Arabidopsis thaliana: one gene and its partners. The protein of the gene in region 2 interacts with the protein of the main gene of each other region in a pairwise test. Each region holds a gene or a part of one and is shown on either strand. Other genes may lie near its edges.

Region 1 (4,919 bases), 5.8 Mb from region 2:
CTCAATATATAACAAATCATGGAAGACTAGTAGCTAAGTTTTTGTTAGAACGATTAATTATCATTTAAGAGAAGAAAAAAAAACAATCTAACATGTATCTCTCTCTTTGTGTGACACTTTTATGATCTGCATGCTTTGTTCATGTTCTTTTTAATCGGTTTATTAGGACTGAGTTAGCTTAGGAAATCTAGAAAGAAACATCGCATTACCCTTTGACTCACAATAGAGAAACATATTAAAAACGTATTTACTGCAATCTAAACATCAAGCGGTTCCATGGTCTAGCGGTTAGGACACTAGACTCTGAATCTAGTAACCCGAGTTCAAGTCTCGGTGGAACCTATTTTTATTTTTGTTACATTTTCCACCTGTTTCTCTTCTTAAAACTTTTGTTTTCCCCAGGCGATAACGGTTTATGTTAGTTTGAACACTAAAAATGGTGTGCACGAACATCATAGTGTTTCCTCTTGTTCACAAGCAATGAATCAGCTGTGTTTTGTTGTTCTTGAGCAATTCCGTGACCAATCCATAACACTTATCTGACTTGTCGATTAAACACTTCACCAAATCCAACACATAGGACATATCAGAATGAATAAAGACTGATTCATGAGCTAGTCTACGACTTTAACAGATACAACATTATCGTTAATTACTTAATTCCCAGCTTTGTCCACTGTAAAACGAGTAAATGATAATGTCTACTTTTGTCAATAAAACTTCTAAAATCCTAGTTTGGAGGATTCTTACAGGTATATAACCAAAAAAAGGTAAAAACAAAAGATACCTAGAAGAAAAAAAGAACCATTCAAAACCGGTTCTTGATTACAAACTTACTTCCACCTTCTTCTGTCTCTCAAAAGGCTATCTACCTGATGATGTTCTTGACTGAACTGAATTTGTTTGCTCTCTAGACAAGGCCGATATCAGCTTCTCTTTCGTTAATTCTTCAGATTTGACTACAAACGTATGCAACACTGTGTCCTGAGAAACTTCCAGGTTCGAGTTTATCACTTCTACTTTACTCTCTTCAAACGCATGGAAGATTCTGGAAGCCGGATGAGACTCCAACGGACAGTTTATCCTCACTGTGACATCTTCACCTGAGGTTTGAACATTTATATCTGAATCCAAGCTGATAGGTGGATTTGAGCTATACCCTAACCTCTCTCTCTCTGCTTCCATGACCTTTAGCTTCGCGTGAAGCTCGTTTATATAAGAAACCGCGTCTCCCAACAAGGACGCTTTGTCCATCTTGGATATGTTGGGAACAACGGATCTCAGAGCGTAAAACCTCTGGTTAAGCTTCTCACGCCTCTGCCTCTCTGCTTCTACATGGTTCAAAGCTTCCGCTCTTCCGTTGGCAGGTCTCCTTCCGCGTTTTCTTGGTCTGTTGTTACCAGATTCATCAGCACCCACTGCATCTGCCCATTCCCCTCCTCCTTCTCCATCTGAATTATTCTCTGAAGCCCTTGAACTCGCAGCAGAGAAATCTATCTGCATTTGAGCAGGAGGAAGCAGCCTCTGCGATGATTGCTGCAAAGGTAAAAACTTGAACTCATCCGTGCTTGGAACTTCCTTCACGTTGATTGGCCTCGTGTAGTTCTCAGGTTGAACCCAAGTAGGACTCAGAAGAGTGTTGTTGTTGGTGCCTGGGTTCGAAAACATAAACCTGTTCCCATTATTCGGATAAGCATCTAATCTCTTGGGAGCTCTATCATCCATTTTTCTAACCGTGAGTTTCTCTCTAAACTGTCTATGCTGTTGCTGTTGCGGTGGTTGTTGTTGTTGTTGTTGGTGATGCTGATGATGTTGAAGAAACCCTGAATTGTGCAAATCCTTGCCGAATATCTTCGTTCTGTTATCATCAATCTTTTCAGCTACAGTAACAGGTAAAGCAACAGCTCTAACCGGAGGCAAACTACTGGTAAACAATGATCTTATAGACAAGATTGAGTCTTCACTTTCAGGCAAACATGAAGTTGAGCCTAACTCAACAACACCAAGATCAGTAGGAACCAAAACAACAGTCTGAATGCCAGCAGATTTAGCAAGAAACGATCTAACGCAATAATCAGAACCCGAATTGACGACATCGGATAACCAAACAGGTTTAGCAGAGGCAAAACACTTGCCTGGACCACCTTCACCTCGAGGGAATGAGAAATACATAGAAGAAAGAAGAAACATCTCAGTGTCAGTAACTCTATCTAGTCCTAAAGCACAGTTCTCTTCTTCTGAGCCACCAAACAAATCATGAAGCTTTTGCAATACTCTCTTTCTCATAGTCTGATGCGTTTCTTCTTCTCTTCCCATACTTAGAATCCTAACGATCTCTGATTTCTCTCCTTCTTTAGGCTCTCTGCAATATCCATCGCCCCAACAGAGAACCAAATCTCCGGCCTTTGACCTGGAAATCTGCCAGAAAATGGCGTAGTTCCAAGAGAAATTAGAAGCGTTGGGTCTCTCGACGAGATCCGAGAGCTTGTTCTGCAGATTCTCGTCGCTTCCTAGAGTCATCAAGAGATTAGCATTGGAAACAGAGTTGGAAAGCAAGTAATCGAGAGCTCGTTTGCCCAGTAATGACGCAACAATCGCTTTATCGTCCTCGTTCCACACTAGGCGACCAATATTCATCTCTGCTTTCTTTTCTTTTGTTGTTTGGATCCCAACAAAAAGGAAAGACTTTTAAGAAACCCAGATCTTCAGAAATCGATTCTTAAGTCAAATGATAGGGTTTAGAAGTGTGACCCAGATGCAAATATACGGCGGAGTATAACAGTTTTGCATGGAACACCCAGAGATCTCAGATCTTGCCCCTATTTTCTTTAACAACAATTAAATGACAAAAATCAAACTCCACCAACAGAAAATGAGGAATTGAGAAGAATATATTTTTACCAGTAAAGAAGATTTGAATCAAGTCTCTTCCACCGAGATTTTCTCCTCAAAATCAGATTTTTGAGAATCCGACCCAAAAAAAAACACAAATTTTAAATCTCCCAAACCCCACCAAAATGGACAAACAAATTACCTAAATTCCCCGAAAAAGAACCCTAAGAATCCAGAAAATAAAAAAAGATGTATCAGTTTCGCTGTATCGGCTCCCTGTTTTGTCGCCGTGGCCAATTGAATGAATTCAAGGAAGAGAGAGAGTCCGACGCATGTTCTTCGTGCTCTTTTTTATTAAAAGACCAAACCCCAACAAACAAAACAAAAAACAAAACAAAAAGACTTTCATCTGAACCATGGTTAGCTACTTAACTACACAATTGAGTTTAGAAACTTAAACCGGGTCTGGTTCGATTTAGTCTTTGTCTCGAGTCTTTGATACACGACGATTGAAAACCCCTTAGATTATGTCATGGTTTTTGTCAATAATTGATTGACATAATTTTCAATTATGGGTTTTGATTAATTAAAAATTTGCAACAGATCTATCTCAACTGGTGTAGATCTAAACAAATACTATCTGACAACTCGAGATTAGATTCTCATGTTCATGGAAATAACTAAAGGGGAAACCAAACCCAAATTTAGAAGTTTGCTTTCAATTTTTAAAATTTTTGTTTACATAATTGCAAAGTATGCCAACTAAGACCGGTGGTCAAGCACCGGGAATTTTGACCAAATCAATTCACATTCAAGTTAGGCTTAAATATTCGGTTTTTGTTGTGTTTTGTTTTGTTGCAAAGACTAAAGAGTTGTTCCTTAAGTTTCAAATGCTTTCAGAATTATACAAAATAAAAGGCTTATTTTAGTTTAGATCCTTGATTATTATTTTTGGTAATATTATTGATGGTGGTTCTACAACGGGAGTAAATAATTTTTTTAAAAACAAAACAAAAAAACAAATTACTAAATAACTTGATAAATGTTGACAAAACAATTCAACTCCTTTAGAAGAAAGGAAACGCCAAGTCGATAGAGAGGAGGGCGTGAAAAGCACGTGAAGTTCACGTGGATTTAGGAGAGATGACCAGAATGAGAAGAACGTGAGATGCATTTAATTTTCTTTGGATCTCTTTTTCTTTTTAATTTCATTTTCAAATGCGCCTGCACAGCTCTGCACTTTCTCTTCTGTAACGTTTTTTTTTTCTCTTTCTCTTTTTGTTTATTCTCTCGCAACCACAATTGAATTGTAATATATTTATAGCTTTCACTCTTTAAGTCATAAAATTATCATCAAAATATAAACTACGGCTCTGCGAAAATGAATATACAATGACTATATTATTTTGGAAAAATCTTTAACAAACGATAAAGTTAAAACAAAAAATTAGTATATATAGTAATTATGGAAAATGAAGTCACGAGTGGGTATAATATATGTATGGCGGTGAGAAACACACAGCAAAAAGTGGGGACCGCGTGATTCACGTGTTTAAACTATCCTTTATTCGAGACGTTTGGGTCCCATTCCCATCTAAGTCAAACAACGACGTCGACTTACAATATCTCCAAGTCGTCAAGAATATAATATGGGCCGATATTACAATACTGGTTTTCTATGGAATTCTTGTAATGTTGGGCCACATATGTGCTAGGTCAAACGTGATATCAGCCTTTTTCCCAAACCTTAATAATGCCCCCCATCTATCCCTTATCTAGCAATCAGAATTAGAATGGGCTGTTCAACGGACTCAGTCTTGAATTCTTAAATCTCAATCTTATCATATATTTCATTGGTTTTGTTTTACCACAACAAATCGGCCTATTAGTCCAGTTAACTCTATTGTAAGAGTTGATTTAATCCCGGATAAAGTAGTGCCGGTTCTTGGTGAACTTATTCTGAATGCCACTAAACCTATCGCTTTGTTTAAATTTGTACTAACAATATATCAAGTATTCATTTATCTTCAATAATGATCCAAATTGGTTTGATTTTCACACGTGACTGTAAACTCTAGCTTCAGAAA
Region 2 (7,199 bases):
AGATAAATGTGTCAATCATAGCCAATACCAAAAGCAAAAGTTTCAACATAAAAGATTAAACATCCTGAAGATTACTACTAGAATGTTATAAAAGTGTAACATAACACACCTTTTCTTTCCTAATTAGTTTACAGCTTTCTACAGGACCAGTGCCAGCAAAAACCTCTTGAAGCAGAGGTTCCGTCACCTGAATATGGATGTTTCCAACGTACCTGCAATTTCTCAAAGGCAGGCAGACTAAAAATCTAAACAAGAAACAGAACAATGAAACAAAAACATAAAAATTAGCAGGGCTACAAGTCCCTCAACATCAAGAAGAATCACCTATGAGGGCATCATAACAAAGAATCACCTTTTCTAGAAAATAGAAACAAGTCTTTAGAGAAACGTTGTCAAATTCAACTGTACAAGTATGAACTATATAATATAGTACATAACTACAATGCAGAAGTGTTTCCCTGGACTAGCTTTGAGAGTGACAAACTGAAAACTTGAGTTCACTACTGAAACTTTTAAAGCCAAAACACCAAAACATACATAAAAAGTGAACAAAAATACCAAAAGAAAAAACGAAACCTAACACTCACACACTGCGGCAAGTACTTGGATCAAAACCAGGGGGGAGATTTCCACTTGGGATTGGTTCTATCTGCAAAAAGGAAAAAAATAGGAAGCCAAAGAAAATGAAAAAGAAAGAAATAAAGGAAAAAACTTTACTTCCTAAAGTCTCAGCAACTAAGCTACGATAACGAATCAGTCTCACCTCAAAGATTTTCATGGAGTTGTTGAACCAAATATCAGATAATAAGACAAACACTTTAAAAGAAATGTAACGAATACACAAGAAGCAAGTCTATTAGTGGTAATCCCCATAAATTTCAAAACTTTTTCTCGTTTGACCAATCAAAAATGAAACAAAAAACAAGAGAAACAAGCATCTTCAATCATAGAAAATGAAACCAAAAATCTCGAGTTCCTAATCTTGGACCTTATACAACAAAAAAGAGAGAAAAACCAGTGAAATCGAGCTTGGGAAAAAGAGCCTAGAAACCCAAATCGAGCATGGAAATGGAAGAAGAATAGAGCAAACCTGTGGCGGGGCAAGGAGACCAGGATGGTAGAGAGACTGTTGCTGCATAAGAGCTTGCTGCATCATAACTTGTTGCTGCTGCTGCTGCTGCTTCAACCTCTGCATTTTCTCTCTCGGGGAAAAAATTATTGTCTTTGATTTTGCTTTTCGTTCCCAGGTAATGAAAATTGACACAGTGTTCTGTCTTTTAGGGTTCGAAAGTGTTTTCGGTGTTCGAGAAAAATGTAAGAAAAATGACAAAATATTAATAACAAAAAAAAAATGAAGAACAGGAAAAAAAAAAGGAAGTCTCTTGATAGAAAGCGAAGGAAGCAATCGAGTGGCTCTTACGAATTTTATTGGATTTATTATTTTTACACATCGATTAGCTAAAGTCACAGGCTGTAAGAAAATTTAAAAAGCAACAGCCAATGAACTCGTCCCACGTTAAACTTATGGCTCAGGCCCAATCACTGTCCAAATCAGACACGCCTTCAATGAACTTGAACCTGACAACTAATTACAATAAACACCCCTGAGTTTAGTGAAAACTTGATATACACTCCAATAATAATCATTTTCATAAATTACACCCTAAATAAATTAGAAAGGAGCTCTGATCACTTTCAACCATCTTTACCCGCATTACGATTGCAGTCAGATTCCTCTTCATGTTATTGCAGTCAGATCAATTCACAACTCCTAAATATTCTTCCTCTTGTCTAATTTGCTATTTCTCGCTTAACGTTATGTAATTTAACTCCCAAGTGTTGTACGTAGTTAACTAATTATAATATAACTTTACTATCGTCTATTGTGTTTATGAATGAATATTCAAGTTAGAATAAGATTACATACTGTAGTACAAAGCAAAATAAAATCACTTAGATAAGTCAGAAAAATCGAAACGTTAATCTAAAAACTCAGTTCCTACAAGAAATTTAGCAAATATTACTATAGCCTTAGATCGAGATCTTTCGAACTTTGGCCTTCTTCAATCTTCATAATATCATCTTTATCACCGTCTGATTTGATATGGGCCATGGTTTGACCAATGGCGTTATCCGGCGGTCTTTGTGACGACTGTCCTGCCTCTAGTGGTTGACCGGTTACAATCTCTGGCTTGGGAGGATAACGATGATGACCTGCGTTTTGGTTAACTTGGTACGGAGCCCTAGCCACAGCTCTGCAACAGAAAAATTAATAACGTAAATTACGAGGCTTGTTGAGGATAATTTAGGAGAACTTATATCAGAGGGAGGATCCTTAAACTTTTGAGTTTTGAACTAACTAGAGTGATTGGAAATTTGGAACATTAAAACAAGTTTCAAAAAGTATGATAAGGTTAAATACCTGTCTTTCCGTTTAGCAAAGAATCGATGGAGGGAAGCTCTACGTGCTATACGTTCCACGATCTGATTTTGTTCTTGTTGCTGTTGTTGTTCCTTTGTTAGGTGATTATTATCAGTAGGCTCATTGAGATCAGGAAGAACCATGCTGCTCTTGTTGTTGTTGTTTTCGTCATTGATTGGTGTCTGAATGTTAATCTCAGTCACAGGCTTGGCTTGTTTTGCTACTTCCATAATCTCTTTAGCTTTGTCTACGGGGAACTCATTATATACTAAAACTTTCCCTCCGAAGAATATGGTCAGCTGCGAACTTCCTGGCTGTGATTCACTGCAAACCAAAAACAGATTTCAGAACAAAACCAATTTTAACCGGATTAACCGATTATCCTTTTCTCTAATCTCCAATAACCAAAAACAACAAGTATTCCCAAGGAACAAAAGGAGAGACCTGAGGTCAGCAACATCTTTGACTTTGCCTCCTGATGAGGTAGAGGGTTCGCCTTTGGAATGCCCTGCCTTATGCATCGCATTTTGTTTCCCTGCATAAAGAGAATAAAAACTTTCGTGAACTATAATAACTTTAGAAAAATGATATAGCATCTTATATCTTTGGAATTTTATTAACCACATCTCAATCAATTTCTATATCAACTTATTCGTTATTTTTGTTACTTGTCTTCATAATTACAAGGAGAAATTATTTCTGAAGTAAGGAACTGACTTACAAATGAAGAAACAATACAAAAGTAGTAAATCTGGCAAAAGCAAGTAGTAACAGAACTGAGTTTTTAAAGTACTATTACCAAGTGGCGGCCATGAAAGAAGAAAGAGATAATAAAAGTACCTGGTGGATCGAATTTTCCGGGCAACGCGAGACTGGAATCGGGTTTTCGGTATAAGCCAAGATCAATGTTTCCGAAACTACCCTTCTCCTTCAAGTAACGGCTGAGCAAACTACATCTCCGGGTAAAGTCAGATTTCTCCGGCGCTTGTGCCTTAGCATTTTCATTGCTCGACGACATGTTGTTGTTTATTGAGAAGAAAGAATTCTCCACACTTACTTTTTAAAGATATTCTTTATCTCTTCTTTTCTTTTCTTTTTGTTGGTGCGTGGATTGCGCGTAAAATGGAAGAGTACAAGAGGCTACTAGCTCAATAGCTCATGTGTTTATAAACTCATTCACCCAATAAGTTTCTGTGACTTTAATAGCCTCTCATAAATTAATGAAAACAAAAATAAATAGGAACTTTTTAGTTTCTTAAAAATATTTCAATATATTGTGACCAAAATAGAATTAAACTTCTCAATAATAAATTTATTAACAACAACCAAAAAAACCAAAAAACAAATCTTACATAAAGCCATGAGATTATATCATATTTAGTAATATTCCATCGCATGCATTTTTAACTAGTTAAAGAACTATATCTAGTGTGAAGAAAGGAATTTTCATCCATGATTAATAGTAAGAAAATTAATGTTAATAATCCATCATTGTGCAAGTAATTTATCTATTGTTTTATGAGTTGGTACAACAAATTTATTGCCCTGTCTTATCATAAAAATATGTTCACCTCTTGTTTCTTGTTTGGCACAGTTTAGTTGTCTACCATCAACGGCCAGATTTCAAAATTGGACTACTTTTTTATATATATTTTCGGTTAGAATTTACCGCACGTTTTCCTTACGCGTAACGATAAAAGAGAAAAAGAATAAAGATTTCAGAACCGACGGCAAACGTTATTAAACGGCGTATGTCACAAATTCGTAAAAGACTCGAAATTTGATCGTATTTACAAAATTTGCCCTTCCACAAGAGCACATTACCAACTCCAGTGATGGCATCATCGTAATAGAAACAACTTTCATGGCCTTTTTTTACATCACCGCGACGTTCCTCACGTTAGTTAACAAACTTAACGGCGGTGCGAATTGAATAGTAAGTGGACCAATGTGGGATCCTACCATCAAACCCCTACGAAGTTTCATGTGCCATAAAAATTCAAAGTCTCCGATACGATCCGACAGAAGTTTTTTGATTAAAACACGTGGTTTAAATAGAACAGACCGTCAAGATTGTGACACGTATCGCAATCTGTACGACGCACTAGCAACAGTATCGTGTGAATCGCGTTTTTCCCACTTTCCTATAGAAAGAAAAAAGGAAAAATCTTAAGATCACCTAATCAGTTTGGTCAAAAATAAAATTGATGGATCAATTGACCGAACTGCCCCTTTCACGGATGCCCATAATAATCAATACGTTCGTTGGTTGCTTCAAAACTACGACTCGTTCAAAAAAACGTGTTCGGGGAAAATGATACCAAAGATATAAAAAGTTTAGATGTGACTTAGTTTAATAAGTGTTGTTGATGGGACTAAATGAAGCAAGATTAGAGCAAACCGAGTGATCGGCCAATTGATCGAACCAGATTGTCAAACCGGTTTGGTAACTCGTTACCCCTAGCTACGCCACTACACTACTTGCATTGTTGCAAAGACCAAGTGGCTGTTGTGTTTTGGAAAAAAAAAAAACGTTCTGGGGTTTAGAAAAATTGGGTAGCGAATGGGTCCTTTTGAAAGTGATATTTTTTTTTGTAGAAGAGGGGGGCGAACCCCCATTTTTATTAAAACTGAAAAAACTAAAAAAATTACACTTGAACGTTCCGGGGGTACGCAGACCCCGCTACATCATCGTGAACAATCGACATAACAATATCCGGAGTAGAATTAAACAAATGAAAACCTAACGGTAAAAAAAAAGCATAGTTAGCTAACCCATCCGCGAGACGATTAGCTTCTCTATACACATGCGAAATCCGGACTGACCAGTCCTTTGAAAGTAAGCCATGGCACAACCGCACCAGGAAGGACAGCGGATGCGAATCATCAATCCCTGTCCGAAGAAAACCCACTACCATCTCCGAATCAATCTCCATCTCCAACTGTGTGACACCGCGCTCCCAAGCGATATTTAAACCGTAATATGCTCCCCATAGTTCCGCAAGCGGAGCCGAACAAATTCCAATATTCAACGAAAACCCATAACACCAATTTCCATCCCCGTCTCGAACTACTCCACCTGCTGTAGCTAGTCTCGGGTTACCACGCGAAGCACCATCAGTATTGAGCTTAAACCAACCCACCCTTGGCGGAGACCACGCAATCAATCTCTCCTCCCTAGCTGTCCGCGTCGTCACTCCCATTTTGTGCACATGCGCCTTCCAAACATCCAACGCACGATCCTTAATAAAACGAACCCGATCCCGACACTTCTTGTTCTCGCCAAAGATGTTACCGTAACGCCATTTCCACCCCCACCATATGGCCTGCGAAAAAGTGACCGCCCATGGACAACCATTAATCTCTATCTCCTCTCCTAAATTCGCATAGATCCATTCTAACAGCGATTTCGAAAAGAAAGAAGAGAGTCTCCGTACTGGTAACAAGCGGGTCCAAATTCCCGCCATCGCCGGACAGTCCCGTAAAATGTGTAGAATTGTCTCCTCCCCACTCTCGCCATGTAGAAGACCATGTACCTTTAGACACCATCCACGCTCTGTTATGAATATCACCGACACGGTACTTGCTTCTCAAAATTTTCGACCATAGACTCACATCATCATGAAGTGATATAGTACTATATAACTCTTGTCTTGGTTTTAATAATAAAAACAAAAATGATATTTTCTTTACATTGAACCGAAACGCCACAGATGCTCTACGCTAATATTTGACCCGTTTCAACCTCTCATTACATAATCCACTTCTTTCGAATTTATAATTATATTCCAACACTATATATCACTAAACTTGTAATTGTGTCTTATGTTGTTACTGTTAGAATATTTATATCATTAATAGTTAAATACTCTATTGGAGAATATGGCATGGGCTTGGTGGGAACTTAACATTGATTTTGGGCCAACACCAACCCATATTTTAAGTTACGGTCTTAGAGATCATCATCAAGGCAGTTTTCGTCCTTTGAATGAGAAGATCCATATTATTTTGAAAGCAAAACTTTCGTATTTCAAAAAGCTAATGAAGAATCAAGAAACAATAATATTCCTTTGAAATGTTCGACATTCGTTAGGCACTAACCTTAAATTTCAATCTTATAGACGTAGATTTATATCATATTCTATGTTTTCGAATAATTTTTTTCCAATTGACGAAAAAGAATAATCTATCTTCTTAAAATTTATATATTAATTGATAGTGTAATACCGAATTTATAAACTCTATTTTAAATACACTTTTTACTAAAGTTAAACGTTCAATTTTTTCAAATTTTGAACAAAGCTAGGAAAAGCTATATTCCAATGTCTTTATAGATATGATAATACATCAAGGAGAAACGAGAGAGGAGTATCTCAAGAGTTGACTTGACTCCTACATAAAAAGTGAACCAAAGGCACAAATAATGTAACAAAGAAGAATGATTGAATCTTTATAAGCTGAGGTTATCCACCTTAAAATTACACAAATCACACGCACACAGGTATGTATGTATATCACTCTGACATCTCATATACATATCTACACATGTACGCAATTTCAAGAACATGTTTGGTTCTATGGACACAAATGCCCACAGATCAAATCATGCAAAAAAAGAAGTTAAAAACATTCTGAAACGTCCAGGGCTTAATTTGCAGATGCACCAAAAAAATTCCTCTGAAATGGGAGACTCATTCATTACTTCTTTAAATTTTCTCGAGAAGATTTTGAATCTGCATTAAATGAAAGAGTATCTTGCATGAGTTCATGAAAGAAA
Region 3 (5,023 bases), on a different chromosome or scaffold from region 2:
AAACAATAGTACGGAAAGCCATGGATGGAAAACCGGGACACATTCGTCTAGAAGTTGACTCTTGGCAAGCCATACCAAGCGATTTAATTGGGGAGGATGAACCGCCCTAGAGTAAACCTGAACCGGAATGCTCATCCTCTGCTGCTCAATAAAAAGTTACCGTAGGGTTGACTTCAAGTCCTTTGATGACGACTATACTGTGAATCTGTGATTACTTGTTCTCAATGCAATAACTACAAGTCTCTTCTTCTTCCTCTTTTTAAAGCTTGTCTTCTACTTGTGATTACTTGTTCTGAATATTGTGATATCAATCAAGACAAGTATGAAATCACCAAGAGCTCTAAGAATATATTTTTTTCTATCATTTTATTCCTTGGATTTTTGAAGAGTAACAAAACATATATGATTTTCATGAGAAGTTGAAGCTGAGAGAATAATATTTAGAGTTGTATTATCGTGAATTGTTGGTAACGATGATGGAGGCTCCTGGGACTAGGGTTGGGAGATGGGAGTTCACTTCTATTGAGAGCAAGTCGGTGAGGAGGAGTTTCTTTGAAACAATGTGATAGGCGGCGGCGATTTTGTATGTGGGAGACGGTGAGGGGTCTTCTTCACCGTCTCACGGTGGATAGCCACAACATCATCAACGTAGACATTAGGTTGAAAAATTCGACATCTTATGGTATTTAATATGACGATTAAAAAGAGAGAAACAAGTCTATTTATCCTTTGAATTGTTAATGATCCTTTTTAATTTATTTTTCAAACTTATAAAACTATGAATAATAGCATCAGAAATAATAAAAAAAAAACCATGTAACTTTATTGCTTATGAGTCAATCAAAGTATATATTTATTCATGTTGTAGCTTTTCAATATTATTAACCATGTTTGTTTTCATTATTTTATTTTTACATAAGTAACATATTTTCATGCCATTAAAATTTTACAACATAAGATAATTTTATTTTATAATATTCAAATTTCCAATTTCCAATTTCCTCTTTAGTCTTAAGTCTTAACATGTCAATTTTTGTATTAAAAAAAAAACATGTCAATTTTTTGTACAAAAAAAATAAAACCATGTCAATTTAGGAGGAAAAAAAACTGGAAAAGCCTGACAAAGAAAAAAAAGCTGGAAATATCAAAAATAAAATGATAACGTCGCCTGAGAGATTCGAACTCTCGCGGGGAAACCCCATGTACTTAGCAGGCACACGCCTTAACCACTCGGCCAAAGCGACTTTATTGATCATGAATCAATCTAAAATATATATATATATAAACCTATCGTTTTGAATTTTTTTTTTTGGCAAACAGCTTTTGATACTATTATATATATATATATATATATTATCCCCACATATCTTTAGCTATGTCTTTTTCGAAGGAAATTTTGAAGTATTAAATTAAGTGACGATTTACACACATATGGAGTAATTAAATCGTTTTAGCATATCTTGTAATGTTGTCTCTCTTATCCAACTATTCTAAAGAAAGTGGTGACTAGAAAATATAGATTATATACTATGTGACCAACTTTTTAGTATATCTTTATAAAAACGCATAAGATATGTCATATGTGTTTCCTCTAAAACTTGTTAAAGAAATGAAAAATCTGTTGGTAGATGTGAATAGTTATGGACTAGTTTGGCTTTAAAAAGAAAATTGGGCCCATGTATTTCTATTCATGCATTGGACATGTACAATGTACAAATATATTCATGATTGCAAACATGTAGTATATATGCTGACTATACGATTGTTATTTATTCAAAAGTTAAGAAAATGCACAAGATACACATGGACGAAATCGAAACTAATTGTACAATAAAATAATAATTATTAGTATTACGAAGGGAAAAGGGAAATGGTCCGTACTAGTTGTCCGAACCCGAAGAAGCCCCAATCGCTGATGCAACTGTCTAGGAGCCGCCACGCTGCGAAGAAGCTCTAGGGTTTGTTCGTCTTCTTCCTCGGTTTCATCAGGTTTTCATCTTCTCGATTCTGATTTCGGCTTCTGTTTTAGCTTTATTCGGCTTATTGTGATTTAATTTGAGCTGATTTGGCATTATTGCTGTGTAGTTAGGGGTCAGGGTTTTAATCTGATCGCGTCTAGGTTATGATTCTTTTGATGATTTCGATCTTTAGAAAGTCAATTGATTTGTTTCTTCGTATGTAGCTCGTTTAGCTGACAGATCTGCATAGTGTCTTATCAGTTACTAGATCTTTGTGCTATCTCTCACTCTGATTTCTGGATTTTGATTCCTTTTTTTTTTTTGTTAGCTGACATACAAGTGTGAGTGATGTGTGTCTTTGCTTTGTTTCCATTTTAGTTTAGTTTCTCAAAATGGAAATGATGAATATTGGGGGTTTTCAGAACCTAAGTTGTAGAAATGGTCTTTTTTTGTTATCACAGAACTCAAAAGGTACTTGGTAGGAGCGAGAAGAAAGTTTCTGGAGAATTGCTGAATTGTTTCTTTCAATGGTTTTGTTTCTAAGGTACTATCCGAGTCCAATGTTTCTGAGAGTTCTGGTAGCTTGTTAATTTGTTATACTGAATACTAGGATTGATTTTGGCAAAGCATGTGATGTTTGTTGCAAGTTCAAGCAGATGTGTTTCTTTTTATAAATTTAGAAGAAGTTTACTTCCGCAGCCATCTATGATTCTCAAAGTTCTTAGCTTTGCGTTTGATTCTTTTTTCTAGAAACCATTGGTTAGCTTTGGATAATGAGTCCTTTTCTGCCCATGATGTATTTTTCTCAGATGGTAATCAAGATTGTTGACGGTGCTCTGAAGATCTGTTGACCTGCTCAGAGTTTGCTTAAAAAGTTTGAGAAAAAATGGACGATGATAATGGGCTCGAGCTCAGCTTGGGTCTTTCTTGTGGAGGATCAACAGGAAAAGCTAAGGGTAACAATAATAATAATGCTGGAAGCTCCTCAGAGAACTACAGGGCAGAAGGAGGCGATAGAAGTGCTAAAGTGATTGATGACTTTAAGAACTTCCTGCATCCAACTTCTCAAAGACCTGCAGAGCCGAGTTCTGGTTCTCAGAGAAGTGATTCGGGTCAACAGCCTCCACAAAATTTCTTCAATGACCTCTCAAAAGCTCCTACAACTGAGGCTGAAGCTTCTACGAAACCTTTGTGGGTGGAGGATGAGTCACGGAAAGAAGCAGGGAACAAAAGAAAGTTCGGGTTCCCGGGGATGAATGATGATAAGAAAAAAGAGAAGGACTCGTCTCATGTTGATATGCATGAGAAGAAGACAAAAGCATCCCATGTTTCAACTGCGACAGATGAAGGATCAACAGCTGAAAACGAAGATGTAGCAGAGTCTGAAGTAGGTGGTGGTTCTTCTTCCAACCACGCAAAGGAGGTGGTTCGTCCTCCTACTGATACAAACATTGTGGACAACTTAACTGGTCAAAGGAGGAGCAACCATGGTGGATCTGGCACTGAAGAGTTTACAATGCGCAACATGAGTTACACCGTACCTTTCACAGTTCATCCGCAAAATGTCGTCACTAGTATGCCTTACTCTTTACCGACAAAAGAGTCTGGACAACACGCAGCAGCTACAAGTCTATTGCAGCCTAATGCTAATGCTGGAAATCTCCCGATTATGTTCGGATACTCACCAGTCCAGCTCCCTATGCTAGATAAGGACGGTTCAGGAGGGATTGTCGCACTTTCTCAATCTCCATTTGCTGGAAGAGTTCCATCAAACTCAGGTAAGCAAAACCTTCCCTTAAAACACGATTTAGTACTCTTACAGCAAAAATAGTAACTTTTCCTTCCAAAAAGCTACTGCAAAAGGCGAAGGCAAACAACCTGTTGCAGAAGAAGGTTCATCCGAGGATGCATCAGAACGACCAACGGGAGACAACAGCAACCTCAATACCGCTTTCTCTTTCGACTTTTCTGCCATAAAACCTGGAATGGCAGCAGATGTGAAGTTTGGAGGATCCGGGGCACGTCCCAACTTACCGTGGGTCTCAACCACTGGTTCAGGCCCACACGGACGGACAATCTCAGGTGTCACATACCGGTACAACGCAAACCAGATCAAAATCGTATGCGCTTGCCACGGCTCGCACATGTCACCGGAGGAGTTTGTACGGCACGCAAGCGAGGAGTACGTTAGCCCAGAATCATCCATGGGAATGACTGCAGCGTCAGCTCACACCTGAAAAGTCACCACCGGAAAAAAAGATGTCTGAAATCTTGTAAACAAATGGAAGGGTTTGTAATGAGTTTCTTTTTGGAACATACATTTTATTATGTTTAGTCGGATCAAACTCTCAAGCCAAAGTTTTTTAACTGAGCTTTCTGTTATGTTGTTGTAATCTCTCTACTTCATCACAATTCCTTATGTAATCCTCTTCTTTCCTTTTTGTTTTTTGGTTGAAAGGAAATTATATATAACCATAACATTATCGGTGTCCTTTGTTCCTTTGGTTAAAATCTAAACAACTATTTTGGTAAAATAATTCACTTTGATTTTGACTACTATGTAACGACAGCAAAACCTTCAATTATGTAATGTCATGTCAAAACCTGATACCATTGATACGGTTGGTTGTACAGAAAACCTGCAAGAATAATGTCAAACTCTTACTTAATAGTTAATAAATTGATAATGTTGTGGTTAAATTCTATAACAAAGAAGTAATTGAAAGACTAAAATAGTGAAAGTATTGATAAAACGATGATGAAGAGAAATCTCTTTATTGAATATTTCAGCTTAAGGTTTACAATGACAGAGAAGGGTTTATATATGAACCCCAAAATGGTGAGACACTAGGTCACACGTCATTAGCTGCACATCACGACAGAGGAACAAAGAGGATCAAATTTGTTATGAAGGGACAAATGATTAGCTGTGAATCCCGTACGTTGATGCGCTGGAAATTGAGGAATCTTGTTACCGTTGCAAGGTAGAGAAGACTTGAGGTTGATGGGCTTGACACTTTGACTGAGGCCCAAAGTATTGTTGAGTGTTGCAGGTCCATTCGCAG

The links.
Region 1: the proteins of JAZ5 (region 2) and AT1G01260 interact in binary tests that used the Arabidopsis thaliana proteins (3 or more experiments, as listed by UniProt).
Region 3: the proteins of JAZ5 (region 2) and NINJA interact in binary tests that used the Arabidopsis thaliana proteins (3 or more experiments, as listed by UniProt).

What each region holds. Positions count from the first base shown.
Region 1 is NC_003070.9:107,313-112,231, reverse strand, and holds AT1G01260 (basic helix-loop-helix (bHLH) DNA-binding superfamily protein), read right to left. Parts: upstream 3,287-4,919; 5' UTR 2,902-3,286; exon of another isoform or gene 2,827-2,901; 5' UTR 2,638-2,826; coding exon 865-2,637; 3' UTR 533-864; downstream 1-532.
Region 2 is NC_003070.9:5,953,631-5,960,829, forward strand, and holds JAZ5 (jasmonate-zim-domain protein 5), read right to left. Parts: upstream 3,882-7,199; 5' UTR 3,441-3,881; coding exon 3,263-3,440; exon of another isoform or gene 3,049-3,262; coding exon of another isoform or gene 2,958-3,048; coding exon 2,867-2,957; intron 2,747-2,866; coding exon 2,423-2,746; coding exon of another isoform or gene 2,356-2,422; exon of another isoform or gene 2,256-2,355; coding exon 2,024-2,255; 3' UTR 1,525-2,023; downstream 1-1,524. Other genes in the region: UBP1B (oligouridylate binding protein 1B), read right to left, coding at 110-212, 588-649, 1,091-1,195. UniProt on the Arabidopsis thaliana protein: Repressor of jasmonate responses.
Region 3 is NC_003075.7:14,263,502-14,268,524, reverse strand, and holds NINJA (Putative interactor of JAZ), read left to right. Parts: upstream 1-1,738; 5' UTR 1,739-1,989; intron 1,990-2,380; exon of another isoform or gene 2,381-2,419; 5' UTR 2,420-2,502; intron 2,503-2,767; 5' UTR 2,768-2,844; coding exon 2,845-3,736; intron 3,737-3,809; coding exon 3,810-4,195; 3' UTR 4,196-4,491; downstream 4,492-5,023. Other genes in the region: AT4G28920 (hypothetical protein (DUF626)), read left to right, coding at 1-110. UniProt on the Arabidopsis thaliana protein: Acts as a transcriptional repressor. Negative regulator of jasmonate responses. Connects the JAZ proteins and the non-JAZ protein TIFY8 with the TOPLESS corepressors.